Linked DNA regions of Tamandua tetradactyla. The protein of the gene in region 2 purifies or fractionates together with the protein of the main gene of each other region. This does not show direct contact. Links are inferred from orthologs where the notes say so. Each region holds a gene or a part of one and is shown on either strand. Other genes may lie near its edges.

What was found.
Region 1: the proteins of RABGGTA (region 2) and CHML purify together in Homo sapiens (co-immunoprecipitation; 3 studies listed by BioGRID and IntAct, counting the BioPlex papers as one, with this or other methods). This does not show direct contact. The link is inferred for Tamandua tetradactyla from reciprocal best matches to the Homo sapiens genes RABGGTA and CHML.

The regions. Positions count from the first base shown.
Region 1 is NC_135333.1:12,777,694-12,786,142, forward strand, and holds CHML (rab proteins geranylgeranyltransferase component A 2), read right to left. Parts: upstream 3,494-8,449; 5' UTR 3,223-3,493; coding exon 1,264-3,222; 3' UTR 593-1,263; downstream 1-592. Other genes in the region: OPN3 (opsin-3), read right to left, coding at 7,465-7,837. UniProt on the Homo sapiens protein: Substrate-binding subunit (component A) of the Rab geranylgeranyltransferase (GGTase) complex. Binds unprenylated Rab proteins and presents the substrate peptide to the catalytic component B.
Region 2 is NC_135340.1:30,536,415-30,544,729, forward strand, and holds the start of RABGGTA (geranylgeranyl transferase type-2 subunit alpha), read left to right. Parts: upstream 1-4,687; 5' UTR 4,688-4,835; intron 4,836-4,867; exon of another isoform or gene 4,868-5,155; 5' UTR 5,156-5,208; coding exon 5,209-5,211; intron 5,212-5,360; coding exon 5,361-5,471; intron 5,472-5,838; coding exon 5,839-5,963; intron 5,964-6,150; coding exon 6,151-6,338; intron 6,339-6,586; coding exon 6,587-6,790; intron 6,791-7,118; coding exon 7,119-7,202; intron 7,203-7,292; coding exon 7,293-7,375; intron 7,376-7,462; coding exon 7,463-7,564; intron 7,565-7,669; coding exon 7,670-7,775; intron 7,776-7,869; coding exon 7,870-7,921; intron 7,922-8,086; coding exon 8,087-8,175; intron 8,176-8,315. UniProt on the Homo sapiens protein: Catalyzes the transfer of a geranylgeranyl moiety from geranylgeranyl diphosphate to both cysteines of Rab proteins with the C-terminal sequence -XXCC, -XCXC and -CCXX, such as RAB1A, RAB3A, RAB5A and RAB7A.

The DNA.
Region 1 (8,449 bases), on a different chromosome or scaffold from region 2:
TCTTCTGATATCTCCACATTTTTTCACTACTGGAGTGCAACCAGTTTTGTGACTTCTGGTGGTTCTGGAAAAGAAACATGTTTCCATCTTCTAGATTACAAAAAGAAGGCAGAACTGATTAGAAAGGTACGTTACCTCATTACATCTGAGTGATGGGATACAACCAAAGGGGCATGCATGTTAAATACTCCTCTGATTCACTGCTAACAGTTAGTAGTGTTGCTCATTAAAGTAGCAAAGACAACATGATGGCTAGTTCATCCTCATTAAGATACCTCAGGTAAATCTATTTACAGATAGTTTTAAAATCATCTCAGAGTTTCTCCTTAGGAATTTCAGAATAACTACTCTGAAACATCTTTTCCCGGGGCAATTTTTCTCTTGGTCTGAGTTAACTTGTTAGAAATTCTTTTCTTTTGGGTTCATCGCTACTGAATTTCCTACTCGAGCAGGGCTCTACAGAAATTTTCTTAAAGTATTCAACCAGATCAATCTTGAATTATTCACTAAATTCTCTGTGAAATGAACCTCCCAAGAATTAGTTCTTAAACTAAGAACTGAACTCTCCAACTTTTTTTGTAATGTAGAAGCCTGTGGTGTTATCATTCACTGCCCCAGTTGTTTATATGGGTCAGGCTGATGTATTTGTAAGACGTATTTCAAACATCAGACCTCCACAAAGAATAAAGGATCAAACCAAGCTAATCTTTCTCACAATCGTAGTTAAATATATTTTATCATATTGGCACTTGTATTACTTGCAATGCCATCATCATGCCTACATGTTATATTACAAAAAAACCATATAATTTACTTTGTGTTTCACTATTCAAACAGATCTCCTCGGAAAGCAGAGGAGACAGAAACTTATAACAGCTACAAAAGTATTTATACTATTTCTTAGATACTGTTTTGTAAACAATGGTAAAATCTAAAGATCAGCAGATACAAATTACCTTCCTTTAAGCAGAGTTCCTAGTAATGAAACCTCACATATGTACCTAATTCCAAAATAAAGCAAATGCAGTTTAAGGTTTTGGATCAGGGAGTCTATCTGGCAGCCAAAAAAATGTCCAATAAGTAATAAATCAGTTACTGAAAGATTAACAAAGGCTTCCAAACACTGAATGTCTCAAATTTAACAGCAACATCTGCAAACATAGCATTTATCATATAACCACTTCTAATATGTCCTTTAAATGAGAATGTTCTGATGCCAGGATGAAGGTCCAAAATGGAATTTCCAGTTTGCTTTTTCTAATTTTAAAGGTGCTTCCCTGGGTTTTCTAGGTTTTTTATTTCTTCAGTGGATTCTACTTTGGCCATTACTATATTATTGGTTCCAGGAGCCTCTGACTGCTTATCATCACCATCAAAGATAATGTCTTCTGGATTTGGAGGTGGGGGGCAGAATTCTTCATCTGGAAAGATCTCCCGGAAAAGTGTCTCAGCTTGCTTGACTGCATGCTCATTTCCCAGACCACAGTCAGGCCCAGAGCAGATATAAACATTGGAAGGTAAGCCATTATATGAGCTTCTGCCTATTTCAGAAGAATCTCTCATGTTATAATAAAGAGCCCACAAGAGTCTTGGCTTTGTTAGTCCTTCCTTATCTATTTCTGTTTCATCATATGGAGTGAATAATTTCTTCACCACTGATTCTTCTAAGTCTTCTCTCGCTGTTTTAGAAGATGGACATGTCAGATGTACCAGATAGGTATCTTTCATGCATGTCATGGTTGAAGAACATAATTCAGTCACCCGAATGGCACAACTTTCTGGTTCTGCTGGAGGCACTATCAAAATGGAAATCTGCTGATCTGAATCTGTCTTTAGTATAGACTGATCTGTAATGAGCACTGCCCTGGAGATCTGCTTATACTGCACATTTGAGCATGTTTCCTCAGAAAGGTAACTGTCCTCCACAATAAAATATTTAGCATTTATTCTTTGACCAAAGTGATCTATAACTGCTTTACATCTTCCAGAATCTTTGTCAACTACAAGGCATTGTACTTTATGGCGGAGACAATAGATTCCACCAAAAACTGCACACATCCTGCAGAAACACTGGGGAATTTCTCCTTGGCCATACAAGGGAAATAAAAAAGGTGTGTTGCCGAACCGTCCCAGACACTGCAGGAAGTTTTTTGTTGCTTTAAGGCCATCTAACGTAGTGCAAGATGACTGTGATGTCATTGCAATTGAGTGCAGTACAAAATGCTGGAGGTTGGGAGTTAGTTTTTTAGTTTTTAAGTACTCTGAAAACGAACACTGCGTGAAAGCTTGGTATTCATCAGGATGTTGTTCGTAGTCTATACAAAATGTAAGAAATTTCATTAGCATTCTCTTTTCAACCATTGTGAGTTCTTTGCTATTAAAGACATCTGCTCTGGAACAAGGCACCTGTTCTACTTTTCCTTCCCGAAATGCAAGAATCCTAGTGACATTTTTAAATTCTGCATATCGACTTACATTTGATTTGATTAAAAGATCAATTAGCAATCCTTGAGAAAACAGCAGCTTTGATACCAAATCAATATTAAATCTTCTGCCTTCTTTAACTATTTGAGAGTAAGTAACCCTATTTTTCTTTGGTTGATCAGTGTTGTCTTCTACCATAGGTTTGCTTTCATCTTTACCTCCATCTAAAACTGTGTGAAAAGTTTTATCTCCACAATCATTTTCCTTCTCCAGAATTTCCTCTACATCATTTACTTCTAGTGAAACCCCTTTATCACTTTTTGGAGTGTCTTTGGCAGGCATTTCATAGTTAGTATTGCATAAGTGGCTTTCTTTGGGTACACATGCAGAATCCAGAGGTTCAGTGAGAGTACTAGATGCCACTGAGGAAGGATTTTTCTGCAGGGCACCAATTTCTTCAACATTGTCATCCAAATCCTGATTGGCATAACAAAAAACTTCTATGTGTTGAATGGTTGCATCCTTTTTGCGAAGAGTAATGGCTTCTTCGGTTTCATGGATCAGGTCTTGCCATGCAGCTGTTCTTTCTTCTGAATCATCACTGTTTTGCTGATATTCTTTCAACCAGGATAACAATCCTGAAAAGCTGAAACTAGCCCAGTTTCCTCCATAATAACTTCGTGAATCAACATGCAGAACCCTCTGACCACTCCTTGAACATGCAGCTGCAAGGATGGATTCAGGCAAACCTGTCCCTATTATAACCACATCAAACTCTGTAGGGAGATTGTCCGCCATTCTGGGAACTAAAGCACCTGCTGACAACTGCCGATGAAGGAAATGTTTATGAATCTAGGCTGTGGGCTCAGCTGAGGTATGAGTATGCCAAGATCAAATCTCTTCTTGTGATGTTCCAGTTTATCCCAGAAGCAGAGGTTACAGTCCTAGCTGTTTAACTACTACTCTTTTTTGGGGGGTATTTTTTTCTTACAGGTCAGTAGCATAAAAACATGACAAAGTACATCTAATCACATTTGAGAATACCAAAACTGATGTGTGGTTTTCATTTCTGCATTTCATCTTAGCAGTAAATGTCAAAATGCATCACATATGCATTTGTGACTGGAACTCTTCTCTGAAAGAAGAAAATTCAAGAAAGAATACAATTGTAAACATTAAAAGAGAAAAATAATTTCATGTAATAACAATTATAGTCTATTGAAATCTGACTTGTTACCTGGATAAAACCTCTGCTAGCCCAAGTCATTAAATACACACTTACATATATTCTTATTTCTTTAAAAAAATGAACAGTACAGATATACTTCCCCAAATCAGGCAATTCAATAATCAAGAATGGACATAATACTATCCCACAAAAATAAAGAATTAACATAATAAAATATATAACATTGGTTTTAATAAAACTAGTATTTGAGTAAAACGTAAAACTATATATAGCTGTGAGCTTAGAAATGTGTGACTCCAAAAAAAAAAAATAAATAAGAAAGAAATGTCTGACTGCATTGTGTTTGTGGAAACAGATTATGTATTATGTGACTACTGCCATGATCATGACCGTGACCAGTACAGTCTGTAGGTGATTCTGCACCAGCCAATTAGGTCTTTTCAGGCCTCAACCACCCTTAGGATCTTGTAGCAAAATGAGGGTTTGAGTATTTCTATTGAATTAACCAGTCAGTGTATTAACAAAAGATTAACTCAGCAAAGCCACTGGCATTTTTTTAAACCTGGAGATATGAAGTATAGACCTACTGAGGAGGGATATTTATTTATAACTCTTTATATCAATGTACACAAGTACATGTGTGCTTTATAGAGGTAATAAGCTACAAAATTCCTGGGTTCAAATGTTAAAATATATTAACATATTTAACACTTGCTTCTAACACTAAAGAGAGTGATTTCTGCTTCTTGTCAGACTTTGTCTCGGCAACCCTGACTCTCTGTGTCCCAAGAAATAGGTCTATTTAAACATTCTCTTGAAAGACCAACTTGTTTTCTGTTGTTCTTGGTTTTGAAGGCATGAAGGTGGTAGTTACAAAAGGCTCTCCTGTTAACTTCTGGTATAATACTTGTTATATTCCATGTGCAAGTCTGAAAGTAGGTGTGGCCAGAGGTGAACAGCCGAGGTACTGAAGGGTATACTTACCTGGATATGCCCTTTCCTTTCACCTCCCACACCTATGTGTGAATTCTGCCTTCACACACTACACTGCTAGGGAGCCCTTCTAACTATCAGTCATCTTTGCACAGCAAGAGTGAGAATTCTTTAAACTCTGATTTCCCTTTCTGCTTAACTTAACTGAAATCTAGCTCAGTACAAGCTGGGCCTGCCTAGGCTAATGTGATTAATTATTTTAGACATAAGTAAAACAAGCCATCCAACTGGAATTATATTAAATAGATTAGTTCACTGAACTGGACAGTTTAACTGAAATGACAATTCTCACAGTTCTGTCTAGTCAAAGCTTCTGCCTCAAGAATAGTAGGGATTTCATTTATTTGGGGTATTTTCTGAGAAATCGGGAATTAAGCAGAGAATGAAAGAAATGCCTGACCCACTCAAGCATTTATGTAAGTAAGTCTGAATTATTTATTCTTACTTCTTCCAGCAAGGTGTGAAGAGGGAGATAGAACCCATGAGGTTATCTTTAGAAGACTGACCATAGTATGTGCTTATTCTTGGCTTAGAGGAAATAGGGGCTGAGGGCAGAGTAAGGAGAGAGGACACAGCTCTAAATGCTAAGATCAGGTTCCTTCTAACCTATAGATAGCAAAGGAGTCATTAAAAACATAGTGTGAAACCTGAGGGAACATTTTGCTCAACTACTCCATAATAAAGATGAGAATAGACATGTAGAGATTAACAGACTTGGGGAAGTCCACACAATTTGTCAGTCACAGATTCAAGAGCGCAACCTACTCTTGTGCCAACTGGCCAGATGCCTCTGGATGAAGCAGAAATGTCCAGCTTTTAAAATTTCCTCTGCCATGGTTGATTAGTTCTTGCCCAGGGATAACAATGAGGGAAGCACCTCCCTTTCTGCATCTTTAACCCTAATCTAGACGTACAAATCTGGGACTTTACTCCACGCAATGAAATTCTTAATTTTTGCTATGAACTTCTTAAGCTCCATCATAACCCCATTACTGACTTGTCTCCCAAGGCTTAAACAAGTCTCAGAACCTCTTACCCTGAATTTCTACCTCTAATTTAAAAACAGGAATAAAGACAGGGATGAAAGCACTAACTAAATGCCAAGAAAAACAGAGCAGTCTTCAGGTAAAACACCGTGTGGTAAACATTTCCAGCATTAGAAAATCACTTTTGATTGGGATGGAATCAAGCAGGGAAGGTGAAAAAGAAAAAAAAAGGAGGTGACAAGGAGACCGAAGAGGGTGGGACAGGCAGAGGGATGAGGTAAGGAAACAGAACAGATGATGGTAATAAAAAAGAAGTCAATATACCCTTGCTTTTAAACTCCCAGCATAGAGATGGGATATAAATAGAATTTCCCAGCACTAGAAAAGGTATTTTGTGGAAATAAGAACTTTCATGTATATGATCAAACACCTGTTGCCCATCTTTGGTACTATTACTATTGGCTTGCACTTGAATCACCCTCTTTAAAGTTTAGCCTCACCTTAAAAATTGCCTGATAGGTATTTTTAAATTAATATAAAGAAAATAATAGCATAGCCATCTATAGTGCCACCTACATACACTTATAGCTCCCTTTCCAAGTTTCAAATATGTCCAAATGAAATCCCCACGTTAAAGCTTGGTGGTAGTTCAGGGGAATGGTATCAAAACTATTTAAGCAATCAAATAAATGAAATCATAATCCCTATGATATTTTCTTTGTTTCCCAAAAATACCTAAAAATGAATCACAACAAATATCATAATTGAATTTGTCAGAGCATAGTAGGTTGGTAAACAAGAAAATGTTTTTGATAATGCTACAAAGATTATGTTCTCCAAAACCTTGCAAGATAAAAGCAGTAATAAATTACTAATGGATTTCAGCATACAAAAGGAAATTTAAGACCTGAGAAGTACACATCTCTATCTCAAATTTTATACAAATGAAATTCCTAGAGTACACAAAAAATAATTTATTTTCCAAGCTTGAGACTCCTCTCAAGAGAAACTTAATTCTTCCATAAGGATTGGGAATATTGTAGAACCAAATCTTCAATTAACAATCAAGTTCTGCTTTAATGAATCTAAAGGTTGCACAGCTAATTACTTGTTCACCTGAGTTGAGATTCTCTGAGTCATTTGCAATCTCACCTTAGATTTTGGTTTCATAGGACCTATAAGGAAAAAAATACAGTAAAAGTAGCTTATAGGGTACAAGCCAATTTGCACTCTAAAGACCTAAATTAAACGCTCACTCCCTAAGAAGCATTCAAAGGTTTACAGTTGCTAATAAGCAAAACCAAAAAAAAAAAAAATTTTACACATTGCTCTTTAATGTGTAACTTATCTCTCACTTTAGGGAAAAAACTGTGTATGCATTAAATTTCTTTCCGTCACCCACTCCAACATTGCTAAGTTAATCACTGTTTTTCTTGACTCTCTTGTCTCTACAGCCCCTCGTTTCTTTTCTCAAAGTGTAAAAGCCGTTGTGTCGTGACCTGTTGAATTACATTAGGAGGTGAAAAAGGAGAAATGAGATGACCTGGGCAGGGGCTGAGTAGAGTTAGGGAGGAACTGGAGTTAAAAGGACAACTGCGGGTGAAGACAGGCTGGGGTTCAGCGTCTACCTGGGGGATCGGAATCGCGGCCAGTGGGAGGGAAGGAAGCGATGAGGCAAGGAAGGAAGGGGCGCCGTGCAACCGGGGGTGGCAGCGTGACAGGAGCGTGGGACAGAGCACGGCGGTGGCCGGGAGCGCGAGCGGGAAGGCGCGGGGGGCGGCTTGGGCGGCAAGCTGTCGCAGGGGTGGTGGCACTGCGGGAAACGGGAAGTTTGCAGTGGAGAGAAAGCTTTCTCCTCCCAGCCCAACTCACCGAAGAGGCTGCTGCTAAACCCGTCCCACGCGCAGCCCACGGTGTCCCAGACCCAGCCGTTCCTCAGGCAGGATACGAACGTAAAGGTGACTCCGAAGAGGGACACCAGCAGGTCGCTGAAGCTGATGTTGACCAGGAAGAGGTTGGTGGGAGTGCGGAGCCGCTGGAACTTGTAGTACAGGATGAGCACCAGCAGGTTGTTGCCGGCGCCCAGCAGCCCAATGGAGCCGATCAGGAGCGCCAGGCGCTCGTAGGTGCCCGGGCTGAAGAGGGGCGCCGGGCTGAGCGTCCCCGTCGGCCCCGCTCCCTGGGCGCCCGCGCCCCCGCCGACCTCCCAGTAGTCTCGGCCGCCGCTTCGGTTCCCCGAGTACATGGCCCGGCGCCGGCGCGCTGGGCGGGCGGAGGCGCTCAGCGTTCACCACAGCCCTCGGCGCCCTCCGCACTGGGTGGGGCCTCAGCTCGGGCTCAGGGTGCAGCCATCCGAAGCCGCCGAGACCGCGAGGCGTCGCGGGAACTGGCAGGCAGCCGCTTCCGCCCGGCGCGCCTCCTGACCACGCCCCCTCGCGTAGCGTGTCATCGTGACCACGCCCCCTCCTTTCGCCGGTCCCTCCCCCGGGCTCCAGCGCGCACCAGCGAGCGTGGACTAGCTGCCACTGGGGCGCGCCGACATGGTAGGGCAGAAGCGAGGGAAGTCAACTGCAGAGCTCTCCCTCCACGAGCTTGGAAGTATCATGTCCGTTCACACATTTACTCATTCACTTATGGAATCATTCATTCATAAATATTTCTCAACGCCTACCACGCTAGGCTTCTCCGGTTCTCAGGAACCTGAAAACAACCCACCAATAGCCTATAATGCGCACCCAGGTCTCATGCACTTCATGTAAACACAAGAAAATAAAAACATTGAAAAGCTTGGTAAGGGGTGTCAGTCAGTCTGCAAATGAAACTGAAAAAGAAAAAGCCTAAATGATAGAGAGGTGCC
Region 2 (8,315 bases):
ACCCCAGGAGTCACGTTCCACATTGCCAGGGAGATTTACACCCCTGGGAGGCATGTCACATGTAGAAGGGACGGCAGTGAATTGCCCTGACGAGTTGGCTTAAACACAGACCACATCTGGGCAACAAAAGAGGTTCTTTGGGGGTCAGTCTAAGGCATAATTTATAAGTAGGCTTAGCTTCTACCTTGCAGGAATAAGTTTCATAGGGGCAAGCCCCAAGATTAAGGGCTCAGTCTATTAAATTGATTGTCCTCAATGCTTATGAGAATATCAGGAATTCTCCAATTAGGGAAGTTTAGTATTTCCTACTTTTCCCCCAGTCTCCCGAAGGGACTTTGCAAATACTTTTTTATTCTCTGCCCAAATTACTCTGGGTAATGCCCTTTAAAAAGGGGAATTTATTAAGTTGCATGTTTACAGTTCTAAGGCTGTGAAAATGTCCAAACTAAGGCATCCAGGGAAAGATACCTTGATTCAAGAAAGGCCGATGGGTCCAGAATACCTCTGTCCTCTGGAAAGGCAAAGGCAACTCTGCTAGGTTTCTCTTCTCATTTCATATGGTTTCCCTGGGGGCGTTTTCCTGCTGCATCACCAAAGGTCTCTGACTATGAGGGCTCTGCTGGCTCTGAAGCTTTTTCCAAAATGGTTCCCTCTTAAAGGGCTCCAGTAAGCAACACCTCCTTGAATGGGTAGAGACACATTCAAAAGTTACCACCCACAATTGGGTGGGTCCCATCTCCATGGAAACAATAAAAAAAAATCCCATCCAGCAATACTGAATGAGGATTAAAGGACATGGCTTTTCTGGGGTACATAATAGCTTCAAACCAGCACACCATGTAATTATGGTTAGAACAAATTCCTCTTAACTGAGTCTGAGTTAGATTCCCCTGTGGGCTCCAATCCTTCTCTTTTTTACATGTTGTCACATCTGATTCACTCACAAGACCTGTCCTGACCAATACTAACCACCAGCCACAGCTCCATGTAGCTACTTAAATTTAAATTAATTAAAACTAAATAAAATTAAAAATTCAGTTCCTCAGTTTCACTAGCCACATTTCAAGTGTCCAAGAGCCGCATGTGGCTAGTGGCTACCGTATTGGACAGCGCAGATATAGAACATCTCCTTCATCATAGAAAGTTCTATTGGACAGTGCTGCCCTAGATTGGAAGCCCCCTGAAGGCAGGGACTACGTCTGTCTGGTTCAACAGCATATCCCAAACACCCAGCACATTGTCAGGCCCAGCTCTGATGCTAAATAAGTATCAACTGATCGAATGAATGCACACACTTTCGCACCCCGCACCTGGCCCAGCTCTAGTACCTGACTTCTACTGCTCTCCGTGCCTCCAGACCACAGTTTCTAGCCGAGCTTTGATGTAGAACTCTGACCCCAGAACTGATGTCCCTTTCCTCCCTCCAAACCATCCATGGTCAGTGACTGTATCGGGTCCTAGAGGAATAGTAAATGTGTGTGTGTGTGTATGTGTGTGTATGAGGGAAGGGGGGAGCAGAGAAAGGGCTTGGCAGAGGAACATGCAATCAGCTAAGGGGACAGAAGGGTTCTTGGACTCAAGAAGATCAAGTGTGAGCCTCTGACTGGCCGCTCCCACCCATGCAGTGGACTGACACCCAAGCTTTGGTTTGAATTCTGGCTAAGTTTCCTTCTGGCAGTGTGATCTCGGACAAGCTACTTAACCACTATGAACCCATTGCATGCATTGTTTCCTCATTGTAAAATATGGAAAAAAAATAAGATGTCTGAGGTTTAGTTGATACTCAATGATTACTTGTTACTTTCTCCACTTAGAGATCAGTAAAATCTCTTCCTCAACCATCATTCAGATTTTGGCCCTAAAATCTGCATAGTTCCCACTTATCCCACACAGGAGGCCAAATATAACTCCTCACAGCTTCTTTTGCCTTTATGTAAGAGGTTTGTCATCAGTTTCACTGCTGTTATCTCCAAAAACACCTGGTTCAGTTTCTGTCTGCCAGCCAAATTAGTCTGTTTGGCTTTATCTCCCACCTCTTCACGTCATATTACATGCCCGAAATACCCTTCTGAGCCCCTCTTCCTGAAACCCAGGCCTACCCTCTCAGAGACAGATTTTTCATGAGACTCACTTCCTCTCTTAAGCCTGCTTGACTCAAACTTCCCAATTTCAAGATTACTAATCATTCAACAATATTTTATACCTACTTCAGCCTTAATCCACCCCCCTTTCTTCCTCTCTTAGTGACTATGATGTAAGACTGTACCTGGCAGATCTGCACCTGGGCGTCTGTTTCCCTGTGGAAACATACATGTGGGTGTGTATAGAGCTGGTTGCACGAGCAGGTGGTAACCAAAAAAAAAAAAGAAGTGATGAGGTGGCAGAATCAGGCAGCCAAGGGTCTCATTTAGCCACCTACTACATGGGTGGCCCTCAGCAAGTTACTTAGTCTTTCTGAGCCTCAGTTTCCTTCAACGTGTGACATAAAGATTAGGAACCATCATCATCATCATTATTATCACTCTTTTCTGAGCCCTTACTCAGTGATCAGCACTATTCTAAGTGCTTTATATAGATTATATTTTATTTGTTTCCCTTCAACGCTACCAGGTAGGTCATATTATTTTTCCTGTATTAACGTCAAAGAAACTGAGACACCAGAGGCTGAGTTACTTACCCCAGACCACACAGTTAGTAAGCGGCAAAGCCAAGGTTTGCACCCAAGCGGTCTGGTTCCAGGGTCAGTGTTCTTAACCCCTCTGCTTACTTCCTCCCAGGTGGGAGCCTGTGTGTGGACACACCGCATTTCTGTGAAGCTCTTGGCACAGGGCCCAACCCAAAGCTGACAACCAATGAACTGCGCAACTGTTTCCACGCTGAGACTGCAAGTTCACAAGGCTTTCCTCTGTAACTTGTTACAGGGCCTAGGAAAAGACATAGTACATGATGGCCACTTCACACACTTTTCCACAAGCTCAGAGAGGTGTAGAGGAAATACAAATATTTAAAGCCAACTTTCTTACCCAGATGTGAGTTACAAGCATATATGTGTGATGTGGGTACACACTTCTCACAAAGACATCACAGACACACACACACACTGACAGGCATGACTCTTATGAAAGTTCCCCCCAGAAGCCTTCCTTAGCTGGTCTAGGCCATATGGATCTTTCCCATTCCTGAACACTAACAGCCAAGCCAGCCCTCATTATGTGTTGTCTGTTCATTCATTCAATAACTACTGATAACTACCAAGAACTAGGGCTAGATATTGGGGAGGCAAGACCAAAAAACTATAGTTCCTGTCCTTCAGAAATTTTCAATCTAATAGGAGATGCTGGCACACAAACCAAGGCTTACAGAGGGTTCAGGAAAAAAAAAAAAAAACACTTTCTTTAACAGCATGGGTGTAAAGCAATCAAATCAGACTGGGGTATTTTGGAGAATTTCCTGGAGGTGACTGCTGATTTAAATCTTAAAGACAAATAGGAGCTATCCTGGCAAAGGAGTGTGGAGGATGGAGAATAAGAAAAGGGAATAAGTTGACACACTTTTGGGAAACTGCAAGTAGTTCTATGGGACCCAGATGAAGGGTTTTTAACAGGGTCAGCCAAAGGGTGGGCAAGAACCAACTGACAAAAGACCTGATATGCTAAATTGAGAGATTCACACTCTCTCCTGAAAAAGCTGTCAGGAGCCACAGAAGCTTAGATGATGTGACGACTGAATTTGCATTTAAGAAAAACTGATCCAGCAGCATTTCGAAGAATACATTGATAACAGAGGGGACAGGGTGCAGATGGGGGACCACTGAGAAAACTTCCAACAATCTGGAGAAGAAATGAGGAGTCTGAACTCTTCTTAGTGGCAGAAGGAATGGAGAGGGTATATAAGAGATATTAAGGAGAAGTGGGAGAGAATAATGCTACAGCAGGGAATATAAAAGGCCAAAGTTTAGGTGGGAGGGAGGAGGCAAGATGACATCTTTTTGACCTTTGAAATTTCAGTTGTTTCTGGGAAACCCAGGTGATCACGAATTAGATACTGGGTATGTGCACATAGATTCTTTATTTTTCAAGCTTACAAGATATCTGGGTTGGAGATATAAACTTCGGTTTCCTTAGCTCAGAGGTAGTCATTAAAACCCTGAATGTGGAGGAAGTTACCCAGAGAAAGTGTGGGGCCAAACGCCCTGTGGACCAAGCACAATACCGGGGAGCTCCAAGCTGCTGTAGGCTTGGATTTGTTAACATTCCACCGGGGACATTGTGTGAAGTGAGACGGGATTGAGGAAAGAGCTCTGGAGATTACCAACACTTAGGACAAGAGGTGAAGAGATGACAAGAGAGGCAAAAATTTAAGAGGAAAAGCCAGAATAGGGGTGTCAAATAGAAGGAAGTCAGAAACGTCAAATGTGCAGAGATCAAGGAGGTACAGGAAACTCTAGCCGCTAGATTTGGCAATTAGGAAGTGGCCACTAAGGCCACAACAAGGTCAATAGAGCGGTGGGGGGCTGTGTCCCCCCGGTTGCTGGAGATTGCAGTTTGAGTAGCGGACTGAAATTGCTGCCCCTGGGACGGCTTCTACGAGGCTCCCGGATTTAACGAGCGCGCTACAGCCACGCATGCGCACTCTTACTCCCTAGAAGGGCCAAGGACTCGGCATTTGTGCGCATGCGCATGCGCCCTTCGAGCCCGCAGACTCCCCCACCGGCCTCTGAGAGCTGGAGAGGGCGCTAGCCTCAGAGGACCGTAGCGTGACGCCGCTCTAGCTCGCGCCCGGGCTCGGTGGCGGGCGCCGCAGCTCGGCGTTCCGCACGCTTCCTCTTAGCGCAGGTGGGTTCGCCCGCGGGGGCAGGGGGCGTCTGGGAGCTGCGGGGTGGGTGGGTGCTGCAGCCTCCCGGGAGCGGAGTGGTCCCCATCGCCTAAGTGCCGCGGCTCGGGCTCCGATCCCGGCGAATCATACCGAAGGCGGAGCCGCCCGGCTGGAAATTCGGCTCGGGTGGGCGCCTCCTCCTGGATGAGCTATGCCTGTCCCAGGACCCCTTTACGGGCTGGGGGGTCTCCACCCAGGCCCGCGTGCAGCTTCCGGGGACCAGCTGGAGGCGGAGCTAGTGGGGGCGGGGCTCCCGTGATTGACACGCCCTCTCCCGAAGCTTCACGGCGACCACGGGACACCTCCAAGGTCCTGAACACCTGAGCCGGCACCATGGTGAGAATCCTGAGCCCAGCCCCTGACCTCCACATGCCTGTGGCCTTGCCTCGGTCCCCTTGTATGAACCCGGGGCTCCCCAGTGGAAGACTCAGCGGGTTTGCCCCTAAAAGGGCAGCCTGCACCCTTCCAACATGTCCTTCCATTAGCACGGGCGCCTGAAGGTGAAGACGTCGGAAGAGCAGGCCGAAGCCAAAAGGCTAGAGCGGGAGCAGAAGCTGAAGCTGTACCTGTCAGCCACCCAGGCTGTCTTCCAGAAGGTGGGGCCCTGAGACATACTGCCCTTCCCCCCCCCTCCCCCAGACGCTCGCTTAGCAAAGCCCCAAGCCCAACACCTGGTCTCCAGAGTCAGAATGCCTGGATCCACCATATAGTAGCTACGTGACTTTGGACAAGTTACTAAATCTCTTTGAACCTCAGTTTGCTCTTCTGTAAAATGGGGTTAATAAGTGTACTCACTGCATAAGGCTGTTAATGAAGATTAAATGGGAGAATATGCGTAAAGCACTTTGCATATTACGTGCTGTAGAGTGCGGGCTCACAGTATATACTATAGTTCCATTTATGTTACTTTGTCCTGGAGTGGGAGAATGACATGACCCTTGAACCTACTACCTTCCTTCTCAGCGCCAGGCTGGTGAGCTGGATGAGTCAGTGCTGGAACTGACAAGCCAGATTCTGGGAGCCAACCCTGACTTTGCCACCCTCTGGAACTGCCGCCGGGAGGTGCTGCAGCAGTTGGAGGTGCAGAAGTGCGTGCTGGTTCAGGGCCACAGCAAGTCCTCCCCACCCTGACGCTGGCCCTGGCCCTGCCCTGCCCTGTCTGGGTCCAGGGATGGAGGAGGAATAGGGAACCAGGGTGGGCATAGACACTCAGGAGTGAGCTGAATTTGTTGTATGGAAAGGCTCTGACCTCCCACCCCTCTCTGCACAACGCAGGTCCCCTGAGGAGTTTGCCACTCTGGTGAAGGCAGAGCTCGGCTTTCTGGAGAGCTGCCTGCGGGTGAACCCCAAGTCTTACGGCACGTGGCACCATCGCTGCTGGCTGTTGGGCCGCCTCCCTGAGCCCAACTGGGCCCGGGAGCTGGAGCTGTGTGCCCGTTTCCTCGAGGTGGATGAGCGGAACTGTACGTGCCTACAGATTCTGTCCCTACCCTGTCACCTGCCACCCCCATCCTTGTACTGGGACCTCAGTAAGGCCCAGAGTGGGGAGGATATCCAGAATGGGCCCACTGAGCTGATGGCAAAAGGAATGAAAGAGCTTAAATGCCTCCTCCATGGAGTGTGTAGCGGTGTATCTGGGGTTGCCAGCCAGGGAATTCCTCTTGCCCTACTTCTGAGGTGTGTTTCCCTCTCCCACCCCCACCCCCACAAGTTCATTGCTGGGACTACCGGCGATTTGTGGCTGCACAGGCAACTGTGCCCCCTGCGGAGGAGCTAGCCTTCACTGACAGCCTCATTACCCGAAACTTCTCCAACTACTCCTCCTGGCACTATCGCTCCTGCCTTCTGCCTCAGCTGCACCCCCATCCAGACTCGGGGTCACGGGGGCGCCTCCCAGAGGATGTGCTGCTGAAAGGTAAGCAGGGTTTAGGGGGTTCTGGAAAGTACCACAGCAGTCTGTAGGGCCCTTCCGGCTCTGACGTCTGGCCCTGTTCTCGAACCTCTCAGTCGGGTTTATTGTTGCCCACTTCGTGCTGGGCCTGGGGTTCATAAAACTGAGCCTAAAGTATCAGATGGGCAAGATAAAACTTGAATGTAGCCCCTGTGTCAGGCCAGCATAGAATCCCAAACTGAGGGCTGGGGGTACCTAAGGAGAGGGCATGTAGGGTGGGAGCGTTGGAGCCCCGGGGATCCTGCTGGGTCCTGACAGCTCCCATGCCCCCATGTTCCCTTGGCCCCCGCAGAACTGGAGCTGGTGCAGAATGCCTTCTTTACGGACCCGAATGATCAGAGTGCCTGGTTCTATCACCGCTGGCTTCTGGGCCGAGGTGAGTCATGGAGGAAGAGGCTGGGTGTGGGGGGGGCTTGGAAGGAGTGGAACAGGATTTAAGGAGACCTGAGGCTGTGTCTGCCCCCAGCTGACCCCCAGGATGCCCTACACTGCCTGCACGTGAGCCGGGACGAGGCCTGTTTGATCGTCTCCTTCTCGCGGCCCCTCCTGGTGAGTCCTGCTGCTTGTGCGGGGGAGCGTCAGGATGGTGGGCCTGGCGCTCTTGGGACAACTGGGTCACTCTTTGTCCCCAACCAGGTGGACTCCAGGATGGAGACCTTGCTGCTCATGGTTGATGAGTCACCCCTAGCTGTGGAGTGGAGGACCCCAGATGGAAGGAACCGGCCCAGCCATGTCTGGGTATCCAAGGATTGGTGGAAGCAGAAGTGGGAGCTGGGGTGGGGCTAGGGTGGGACAACCAGAAAAGTGATGAGGCAGGACATTTCCTTGACCCATTGCTCCCAGCTCTGTGACCTGCCCACTGCCTCCCTCAACGACCAGTTACCCCAACATACGTTTCGTGTCATTTGGAGGGCAGGTGATGCCCAGAAGGAATGTGTGCTTTTAAAAGGTGATGCAACTTGCAGCTTCCACCACTTAAGCAGCCCCTCATCCCGCTCTTCCTCTCATGAGGGTCCCCTCCTGCCACTTGTACTTTCCCTCAGGCCATCAGGAGGGCTGGTGCCGGGACTCGGCCACAGATGAGCAGCTATTCAGGTAAAGATGGAAACACAGACAAGGAGAGGGGCTCTAGACTCTGGGCTCTAAGCCACTGAGGCAGGAGGGTTGGGGCTGGGAGATGGTCTCAGACTGCATACTGAGGGCTCCCAGTATTCCGAGGCTGTGGACCTCACCTCTCCCCGCAACCCCACTTGCCCTCAGGTGCGAGCTGTCAGCCGAGAAGTCCACAGTGCTCCAGTCGGAGCTCCAGTCCTGTAAGGAGCTGCAGGAGTTGGAACCTGAGAACAAATGTGAGGCCCCAATCCCTGGGAGCCTGCTCCCCAGATCCCTCGAAGGAGGTCACCTTCCAGGGTGGCCCCTTGGGTGGAGCAGGAAGGGTCTAAAGAGGTTGGGGAGCAGAGGAGGAGCCAGGAGAGAGTGTGTTCTCCCT